2 separate regions of the Mus musculus genome follow, and region 1 is reported to be linked to region 2. The links are microRNA targets in miRTarBase. Many come from high-throughput screens and were not tested one by one. Region 2 holds a microRNA gene; the other region holds the end of a gene's coding sequence. Distances are between the middles of the regions.
The links. Region 2 holds the annotated microRNA mmu-miR-491-5p (AGUGGGGAACCCUUCCAUGAGG, at 1,843-1,864, shown strand). A microRNA usually pairs through its seed, bases 2 to 8, with sites in the 3' UTR of a target mRNA and lowers its output. Matches are read on the target gene's strand: a 7mer-m8 pairs with bases 2 to 8, a 7mer-A1 pairs with bases 2 to 7 and ends in A, and an 8mer does both.

Region 1 (5,528 bases), 42 Mb from region 2:
TCCCCCAACCCCCGGAGACACTGTTTTCCTGGCAAGTGGACTGAGGACCGAGTGTGGTAGTACCAACCCTGTCCCACCAGGCTGGTACGCAGAACTGGGCTCCGGCAGCTGGCCAGGGCGCGGACCAGGACGTCCTTCTCCATTGCCCGAATGCAGGTGGGTGTTTGCTCGGCTCGGGTCCAGGCAGGTCTGAGGCTGAGATCTGGCCATTGCCAGCGCGGGGCTCCTCCTCCAGCTCCAGGCGATGAGCCTGGTCTGGGTAGCAGACTGCTCGCCCCACCCGCGCGCCCAGGTCGCCTCGGCAGGGACTCAGGGATGCTTCCTCCTCCACCGTTTCCCGGGACTGGAAGCTGAGGCCCCCGCGGGTAACCCAGCCAGGACAGGAACAATCACGACTCGGGTCCACGGGGCACCTGGGCCACACCGGGGCCTGTCGAGACTGGCTGCCGCGCCCAGGGCGGGCCGCTCACCGCCGCAAGAGGCGCGGGCGGTAAGGACTGGCCCCTAACCTCTGGAGCGCGAACCTGGGGGTCGCTGCTCCTAGTCACCCACTGAGGGAGCGGCCGCACCAGTATCCCGATGGGGAAACTGAGGACTGGAGCGGGGCAGAGCTTTGTGTGAGATCGTGCGGGGGTCTGGAGGATAGGTCTCCGCGACGCCGGGGACAGCATCCCTCCCGCCACAGAGCCGCAGCCCGGGCGCAGCGAGCGTCCCGCCCGGCCCGGTCCCACCCTACCTTGTTGGCTGCCGCGCAGGTGGCGGCGGCGGCGGCTCCGGCTCCCGCTCCGCGCTTCGCGCCGCCCGCCGAGTCCCCGCGCCCAGTGCCGCCGCCTCCCCGCGCAGCCCGGCGGGCGGGACCGGGCCGGGCGGGGTCGGGGCGGGGCGGGACGGAGAGGCCCCGCCTGTGCGCCGCCCGTCGCCCGCAGCTCGGTTCCCGTCCCGCGTGCACACACTCTCGCCTCCGACACGCTCTCGCCGCAGGCTTTGGGTGGGACTCGGGTCCCGAACCTCAGTTTCCCCTTGCTGAGATGGAGACTGTCATCGCGCCTGCCTCCCAGATGGCTCGAAGCTGGATCCCGCAGCGAGCGCCGGGACCGCAGCTCTGCAGGCGGCGGGAGAACTGGAGAGCGGAGGGCGGCTGCGCATCCGGGAGATCCTTCCCACTGCTGCCATTAGGGGGCGCTGCGTCCAAGCCGCTCCCTCTTTCAGCCGGGTGCTCACTGAATATGGAAGATAGGACGTCATATCTTTCATAATAACCACGCCACACCACCTGTCTTGGAAAGTGTTCTTCGTGTCTTGTAGTGATGTGTTTGGTGGGGGGCGGGGGGGAGGAGGGAGACTAGCACTGTACCTGGCACAAAGTAGGTATTGTATATATTGTTAACTAAGAACACAATTTATTACATTTGATCTACCAACGCCTTCAATGTAGTCATAATACTCCCATTTCATAGACAAGAAGTTGAGACTTTAGCTGAGTTCTTGGTAGGCTCTATAACAAATTTAATGTGTGTGTGTGTATGATTTGTGATGGTGGGATTGAACATTAGGACCGTGCATATGCTTGCCAGGCAAGTATTCTACCTTTGAGCTACACTGTGAGACCTCTCCTCTTTTTCTGAAACAAGAGTTCACTAAATTGCTTAGGTTGGCTTTGAACTAGCCATCTTCCTCCCTCAGCCTCTAGGAGCTGGGATTGTAGGACTACACCACCACACTCAGCTCTGGTGAGTCCTTGATCACTTTAGAACAGCAGTCGCTAAAGCCTTCCTCTAGTTCCTGCTGAACCACAGGGCCCTGGGCCGGTTTTCTTCCTAGAGCTGTGGGTTTCCCACGTCTGAATTCCCCCTGCATCCCGCTTGGAGCTGCACTGGCAGAAGCACACAGCGCACAACCGCAGCAGTTGGACCTTTGCCCTCAAGGGTCCATGGTAATCTAAAACATTTTTGTCACTTTTTAACGAGTGTGTGTGTGTGTGTGTGTGTGTGTGTGTGTGTGTGCAAACTTTCAGAAGTTAGTTCTTTCCTTTCATCTTATTTCTGCAATGCTACATATTCCTGGCTGACTGTCCCTGAGCTATCGGGCAATATATCAGATGCCTCCCATCTCCAAGTAGGAGGGCTGCATTCAGCTTTTTACATGGTTCCTGGGGACAGGTCTCAGGCTGCCTGGCTCCTGAGACAGCACTATCACCCTCTTAGGCATTTTACCAGCCCATTTATTAATTTTTTTAAGGAGGGTCCCACATAGCCCAGGTCGGTCTTAGACTGTCTATGAACTAAGAAGAACCCATGAACTCATTCTCCTGTCTACCTCCTAAAGGCTGGGGCCACCATGCCAGGCCCACCACAGTGTTTCTGACTTGGCTTTACCCTGGAGCAGGCTGACTCATCTGGATGCCCCAACACAGTAAAGGCGGAGGCTAGGGTCTGGTGGTCCTCTCTCTCTCAGCATCATTCCCAAGCTCCCGCTCGCATCATCTCCTTTGGAAGGTCTCTTTCAAAATCATCTTAAAAGAAACTCTTTTTTCATGGTGCCAGGCCAGTTGTCTGTTGGGACAGGCTTGTTTGACAGGATTATCTGGGGGACTGTGGGCACGTGGACCCGTAAATCAGAGGGGAGACCTGGAACCTGGCATGCCTCTTCTGTGTCTGGGGAGGGGCTTTCCCTGTGTCCTCTTACCGGTTCCTAATCCTACCTCAGGTGTGGAAGGCAGCCCCTGACAACCCCTAAGTTACACACAAGGGGACACAGCCTACCAGGGCCTGCTCAGACACTATGGGGTCAGACACTATGGGACGTGTTGGGTTGGGAGACATCACTGATTGACTTTCTACTTGTCCTGTAGAATGTGGCCGTGTGTGTGTGTGTGTGTGTGTGTGTGTGTGTGTGTGTGTTGTACTGGGAGAAGATAGCCCCTGGGCAAGGGTCTATTTGGGATATAAGCTTGAACAAAGTAGTTTGGGGGCGTATCCCTCTCACATCCAGTCTTTGGGGTCTCTAGGCCCCTGTCCCTTTGTTCTCTGAGAAGGCCTGCTGGTCCAGGGGTGGGAGGGGTCGATCATGGAGTTCCATCTCTGTTCTGGGTAGGAAGGTGGGGCTGTGGCATCAGATCTTCCAGCCTCTGAAGCAGTGGCCCCTGGGGAAGGGGCAGCAGCTGTGGGGCGAGCAAGGAACCTGACACTAGGGGTAGGCCCCAGGCCCTGAGGGAGGGGCAGGCTCTGCCCCAGCAGCAGCCCAGAGAGTCTCAGGCTCGCCCGCACCCCTTGTTTGTTTCTGTTCCAGTTCAGGCAGCCCAGACACTCATCGTTTTTCTCTTATTTATTTGGTTTTTGAGACACTGTTTGGCTGTGTAGTCCAGTGTTGGAACTGCTGGGATCTGAAGTGTGTACCCCACACCTGACTCCCCCTTTTCTTTTCCTAGAGTTGACCCTGTGGGTATGCCCACAGGCAGTCACGGCCAGAGCCGCCCTCCCCTTCTGTGTGACACTACACTAAGTTCTCTGAGTCCTGTTACTGGAGCTTGGCCTGCTCGTTCAGGGCTGGAGGAGGCAATTAATCCCAGAACACTTACCCCCCAGGGTTAAGCCTCCTGGCTCCAAGAGTAGCTGAACACAAGGCCCAGCACTGCTGGAACACAGTGCAGCTTGGTAAGAAAGCTGCGTTGGTCCCCCAAGGAGAAGCGCAAGTGCTTGGCAGAGTTCTCCTCTAGGGAGAGTTGAGGAAGAGGAGAGGTGGGGGCTGTGGCTTGGTGGGGGAGTAGTAGAAAGGGCACTGTTTATCCAGCAGCCTGTGCCCACAGTTCAACCTGTTTTTGGCTTTTTGGTGGTGGCTTTTGGGAGAGCCGGTCATCACCTAGCCATGTCCCCTCCATGTAAGGCTGCTTACCAACTGGCTCTGGTGAGCCGAGTGGGCTGCTGCCCTGCTCCCCTCCCAAGCCTACCCTGTTGGCCCCACAGGCCAGATGCAGGCCAGAGTGGATGCTTGCTCCAGGTCCACTGTCCAGTCCACATCAGGTTCCTCAGGGTAGCAGGCAGGGGCTCCCCTGGGATGACCCAGTGGGCTGTAAACAGAAGGCAAGCTTTAGGCATGAGGCTGTAGAGATAGTCCCTATGAGCAGGGCGATCTCAACACACAGATCCAGGTGGCAACTCAGGGGGGCTACTGTCTGGAAAGACAGATGCCCTGAAAATGCAGGCCTTGAACTTGGGGTGCCACATAATGGTGACCAAGGCCTGGAGCCAGAGGGTGCCAGCGGGAACATTCCTGACACTTGTGCCGAGGAGCCCTGGTAATGAGACGGCTTCTGTCCTAAAGGTGGAGCGCCATCAACTGCAAGGATGTTGCTTTATGTCATCATGGCTCTGACAGGAGGATCCTGCATGGAGTCTGAGGTCAGCCTGAGTTCCTCGAGACCTGGTCAGAAGACGAAATCCAAACGGAATGGAAATGGTGGTGCCTCTCAGAGACTGGTCAGGTGACCCAGCATGTATCCCTGCCTCCTGTCCTGTGTGTGAAAGTGCTCTGTGGGGCAGTGACACAGGCTGGCAAGCCTGGGAGACTAAGGCCTGGAGAGGGCAAAGGCCTGGTCCAGGGTCACACACACCTCCCGCCCATGGCTGAACTCTATCTTCCTGCCAGCAAAGGTGAGAAAGGCTTTGGGGACAGAGGGCTCGGTCAGCTGTCGCCTTCTCCTTCGTCCTCGCTGACGCAGCCCTCTGGCGGTGCTCTGCCCAGGGATGCCCGTCTCTGCAAGTACTCCACTTTCAGCAGCTCTAGCTCGCGCAGCTCCGCCTCCAGTCGCTCTCGGTGGGCTGCCCGCAGCTGCCGCAGTTGCTTCATGGGAAATGGGTTCATGTCATTGAAGGCTATGCTCATGAGCTTCCTGAAAGGAAGGTACAGTCGGCCAGGGCAAGGTTACCAGTTTCGGCCAGGTCCTGACATCCGTCCACCCTAGAATGGTGGTCCTGCCTTCTGGAGCTAACCTTCCGGGGATGGGGGTGGGGGAGACTATTCCCACCTAGAGCTGAGGCTGGAGGGAGCTAGGCAGGTACCTGATCCAGTAAAGGAAGGGCAGCTCTGGAGGGCTTCCTGGAGGAGGCACATGAGAGCTTAGCTTTGAGGATAGGGACCAGGCTCAAGATAATGGAGGAGCAGTGGGAGAAGGGAGCCAGGAGGCTCCTAGGGGCAGAGCCAGTGGTGGGTTGGTTGTCCCACACCCTGGGTCTTGATGGGAGGGTGAAGGTGGGCTTTGGAGCTTGCTTGCCATACAAGGATACAGAGGGGGCGGACAGCTCACCGGCTGTCGCAGATGGTCTTGGTGAAGAAACGCAGGTACTGGTAGATCTCCAGGCTGTCCTGGAGTTGCAGGATCGCTTCCTCATTGTACTTGAAGATGGCCAGAGCATATCGGAACACCACCTAGGGCACAGTGGGGTTCAGGTGGGGTACAGACCCAGGCAGGTACTGTTGGGGGGTGCTGGGGGGGGGGACACGACTCAGCGACTCCGGGAATATGGAGGTTT
Region 2 (5,000 bases):
TTTAACTGTGTAGTTTTGATGGGCTTCTTGCTGGCAGAGTTCTGAAACCTCTCATGAGTCATATGGCAACAAACAAGAAACAAGGAGTGTGTTTGAGTCATTTCTGAGCTGTGTCTTCCTCCTCCTCCTCTTTTTTCTTTTTTCTTTGAGACAGGGTTTCTGGCTGGCCTGGAACTTGATCTGTATGTAGACCAGGTTGGCCTCAAATTCAGAGATAAGTCTGCATGGGAGTTGGGTAAAGTGGGCCTTTTATTCTGTGTCCTCTTCTCTGTCCCCCTCCTCTTTTTGAGAACAGTAGGACTGAGAGTTTGGTGTAAACAAAAACCACTGGTGCTGATTCCTCGTTTGTTCTTTTAACAGACAAGTAGTTTGTTTGGATGTGCAGGATTTGAGGGCACAGCTGAACTTCCTGTAGTTCAGCTGCAGTTGGATTCTTGCTGAGATCAAAGCTGGTATCAAAAGGAGGTGTAAGCTTAAACAATCTTGCCACAGTTTGACTCCCCCTTAAAAAAGACTTTTTAAAAAAGACTTATTTATATTTTATCTCATATGTATGCAGGAATGCCCGAGTGTATGTGTACCCTGTGCATGCCATGCAGGTGCCCAGATGTTGTGAGCTGTCCTGTGGGTGCTGGCAGTTGAACCTCAGTTTTTTTGCATTGGAAGCATATGCTCTTAACCACTGAGCCCTTCCTTTTTGAGCCCTCTCTTGTACGTTTTAATTCAAGAAAGGATTAACTTTTATTTTAAGTAGGTGGTTGAGCTTTGGAATTAAAATAATTTGCTTTTTAATGGTTCTGCTATATGAATTCATCTGTCTCAGGATTAACGTGTAGGAAAACACGGAGTTGTTGGACATTTTTAGTTTGTTTATCTATGATATTTTCTGAGCATTGAAGTGGTTAACAGAAAAGGTTATGCTAAGAAGTATCTGCAGGGGTTCCTGCTTTATTTCCATTGTTGGCTTTTAAAATTACTTTTATACTCTTTGAGGAATAATTGGTTTGAACTCCAAGGCAATTAGATGGTTAATACATCTCTTGTTTTGATTACAGAAACTGTGCATAAACCTGTGAGAGAAGCAAAGATGTCAGATGACATCAAGAAAAGGTTTGATTTTCCGAATTCTCTTATCCAGTCTCAGGTAATTTTTATTTATTTTTCCTTCATGGTAACAAAAGCACACTTTTGATGGACCATAAATTGAACTTTGTATTTTCACATGAAATATTTTCTTCTACTCATGGCTTATTGTAGTAAGCAACATTATATGACTAGTAAGTATATTTCAATTAGAGAAACTAATATTTAAACTTGTTCAATTTCAGCTTCTTGTTGTTTTCATATATTTTTCCCTTAGAAATAATCTTGATTAGTAGATTTTTGAATGTGGTTATTCTTTTTGCATATGTTTAATAATTGGGAACAGTGATAGATGGTTTCTTATATATCTCCACAGAGTATCAAAGATTAATGTTTAAAATGATATATTCTACCTCTCTACAGCTATTAAGAGTACTAGATTTCAGAATAATGATATTCAATAATTAAAGCATTCTGGATTAATGTAATATGTACCTGCTGAGATGGGAAATCGGGATAATTTAATTTACAGAGCTTTTCAATAATTAAGACAAGTGTTAAAGCAGTGGTGGTTTCTATCTGCTAGCTAAGTAGGCACATTCTAATAAACCTTGGTACCATAAGAGCTTAACATCTCTTCCTATGAGTAAAGCTAAACAGCCAGTGAAAGCCAGTCTGAAGACTTAACCCCGAAAGCCTCGTGGATGCTTCAGCAGTTGCCCTCGGAGATGCCTGCTGTGGGAATTGACTTAGCTGGGAAGTGGGGAACCCTTCCATGAGGAGTAGAACACTCCTTATGCAAGATTCCCTTCTACCTGACTGAGTTGAAGTCATATCCTGCTCTGTGCAACACAGGCCCTTCCCCTGAAGAAGAAGATGAGGAAGATGCTGTTCACAGTCTCCATTCTTCTGTACCTACATAACCTTCATTAACATAATAAAAAGGAAATGGTGACATGTGTTACAGTTAATTTAAGAAAAATGTGTATATGTCTTGGTTATTGTATATTTCAGTCTGGCTATGGAATGAAGTAGCAAGGTAGCATAATGTGTCAGCTGTGTGGGTGTCTCAGAACCATGTAGGCTCCTTAGGCTAGTATCTCTGATGTTTTAAAAGATGAATGAAACAGAAGATCAGAGAAATTGAATCTTCTGAGTGGGGAGATGTGAAACATGCAGTGTATTTTCTTTTAGTCCTTTTTCTAAATGAGGACAGTAGCTTTTTTTATATGTCTCTGTTGCATTTCATCTTGGTTCTTAGGTTCTCATGAGTGTGCCCTGTCCTCATGAGTCATATACCAACTGTTCTTTCAAAACCACTGCTTTGAGACAGGACCATATCCCCTTGACTGGCACTCAGCCCTTTTGCATTTTGGTGATTAGATGATCGAGCAGCTGCTGACAGCAGCTGAGCTACAGTGGGTAGTGCGTGTACACTTGTGAGCTTGTCCATTATTTTCTAAGTGACTCTAGAAGAGTTCTATGATCAATCTAAAATCAAAAATTCAAATTACAGGCAGCACTGTGTATCGTAGATTGATTGGCAGCCATGTTTATTTTTTGCTGATGAGTTATGTTGCATCCTTTGAGCTGATGGCCAGATATTCAATGACACATACAGTATAGTTTGTGAAATACAAACTTAGGGTTCAAACTCATGGCTCCTCAGTTTTCTTATCCTTTGGCTAGGAGATAAGAGACAGCAAATTGAACTGCAGTTTGCATTTATGTAAGTGAGTGATTTATTTCTCAAAATTCAGGTATAGAGGTCTTAAATCATTTGAACATTTGAACACATGCACATGTGCAGGAGGGGAGCGGGTGCGGTGTAGTTCTTTGAGCTCTTCTAGAGATTTCCCAAAACTGACAGCTGTTTTCAGCACTATTGTAAGTGGTCCCAAGTTCAGGATATACAGTTGTAGTAGTGGAAATTTCCCTAGCTGCATACAGAATAGTTACCATTGTTGCCAGCCAATTTCCTGTCAGTCAGCAGTGCTGGTTAGGCCTGAAGAACAGGGCCTGACACTGAGGCAGAGGAGGTGACATTTATGTATTTGTGTAATCAACTCTCTTAGAGCTTGATTTTCATTTTGGGCTCTTTGACTAAAGCAGAATGTGGGAAATTTTTAAGAGATTTGAGAGACTGAAAACTTAAGACCCAAAACCTATTAGGAAGGGATAAATAAATTAATATAGGGCTATGAAATGGCTCAGTGGGTAAAGACAGTTTGCATTAAGCCTGAGGATGACCTGAGTTTGAATCTCTGGACCCATATGGTGGAAAATGAGAAGTGACTTCTCCAAGTCGTCTTCTCTCCTCCTCATGTGGGTAGTAGCACATACCTGTGTACATGCACACACACACACACACACACACACACACACTCACACATACACACACACATACACATACACACACACACTCACATGTACACACACATACTCACACATACACACTCACACACACATACACACACACACACACTCACACATACACACACACACACTCACACATACACACACACACTCACATACACATACTCACACCTATACTCACACACACATACACACACTCACACACACACATTCACACATACACACACACACTCACACACACTCACACATACACATACACACACACACACATACACACACACACTCACACACACTCACACATACACATACACACACACACACATACACATACACACACACACACATACACACATAAACACACTCACACACACCTCCGCACATGCAAATGAACTTTAGAAAAAATGAAAATAGTAGGGTCTAGAGGAGGGAGAAGAGTGTAGAGGAAGGGAGAGATATTCTTCAGGTCTGTACAGGCTGTATCCATAAAAGTGAGGGTGAATTTTTCTTCATTTTCACAAAGGTCACCATGAAACATGACAGATTGGATTTAGATACAAAGGTTTTAAAGACTGTCTCATGTTTTAATGGATTATGTAATTCCAAATTATCTTTAAAAGTAGGTGAGAGGAATTTGAGCTGAAGGTTGATGTTGGCCTCGGTAGAGTATGGCTTGTGTAGTGCTGGGATATTTGACCTACTTTGAAGATTGCTCTGAGGATTTGGGTTACACATGTTGAGTGCCTCGTTCAGTGCTTTCTACATGGCACACAACAAAGGGACTTTCATCTTACCAGTTGACAACTTGGCTTGCTTATACATGAAAATGAATATGATGTTGATTCCCTTTCAGTGCACTCTTTGGAAAGAACTTCTAAGTGGATATCTTCATTAATTTTTTGTTGTTCTTCTTTTAGGCTGTAGGTCATCTTATTGCTGCTGTCTTAAAAGAACATGGTGTTTCAGAAAAGATACACCAATCCACAAACCAGGTCTGTGCTTAACCTTGTTGTTGTTGTTTTGTTGTTGTTTGTTGTGTGTGTGTGTACACCTGCCCCTGGCTAGCTTTTTGTTAAATAGATACCAGCCAGGATCATCTTGAGAGTAGGCAGCCTCAACTGAGAAAATGCACCTTTAGATTTGCCTGTGGGCAACCCTGTGGGACATTTTCTTGCTTAATAGCTGATGTGGGAGAGCTGAGCTTACTGTGGGAGGAGCCACCCCTGGGCAGGTGGTCCTGGGTTGTATCAGAAAGTAGGCTGAGCGAGCTAGGAGAGTAAACCAGGAATCACTGCTGCTTCATGGAGTCTGCTTCAGTTCACGCCCTGAGTTTATACTCTCCTTTCTCTTGATGATGGACCTTAAGCTGAAATACACCCTATTCTCACCTGGTTCTTTATGGTTGTGGTCCTTGTCACAGTAGTAGGAAGCAGTCTAAGATAATCTGCTTGCTTGTTTTATGTAGATGCTTGTGCTTGCCTGCAGGGCCACTCGCCCCTGGTTTCACTTGTAGTTCAGTTCAGATCTTGAACTGTAAGGAGGAG

Region 1: the mRNA of Tbc1d2 is a reported target of mmu-miR-491-5p. Seed matches in the 3' UTR shown: 7mer-A1 at 4,529-4,535.

What each region holds. Positions count from the first base shown.
Region 1 is chr4:46,601,081-46,606,608 of GRCm38, forward strand. It overlaps Tbc1d2 (TBC1 domain family, member 2), which reads right to left. Exons shown (of 13, transcript NM_198664.3): 12 at 5,303-5,424; 13 at 3,310-4,888. The coding sequence ends at 4,681. It overlaps Coro2a (coronin, actin binding protein 2A), which reads right to left and starts at 849. Exons shown (of 12, transcript NM_001164804.1): 1 at 737-849.
Region 2 is chr4:88,120,215-88,125,214 of GRCm38, forward strand. Mir491 (microRNA 491) reads left to right here and starts at 1,826; the gene lies at 1,826-1,911. It overlaps Focad (focadhesin), which reads left to right. Exons shown (of 44, transcript NM_001081184.1): 2 at 1,056-1,144; 3 at 4,374-4,448. The coding sequence starts at 1,088.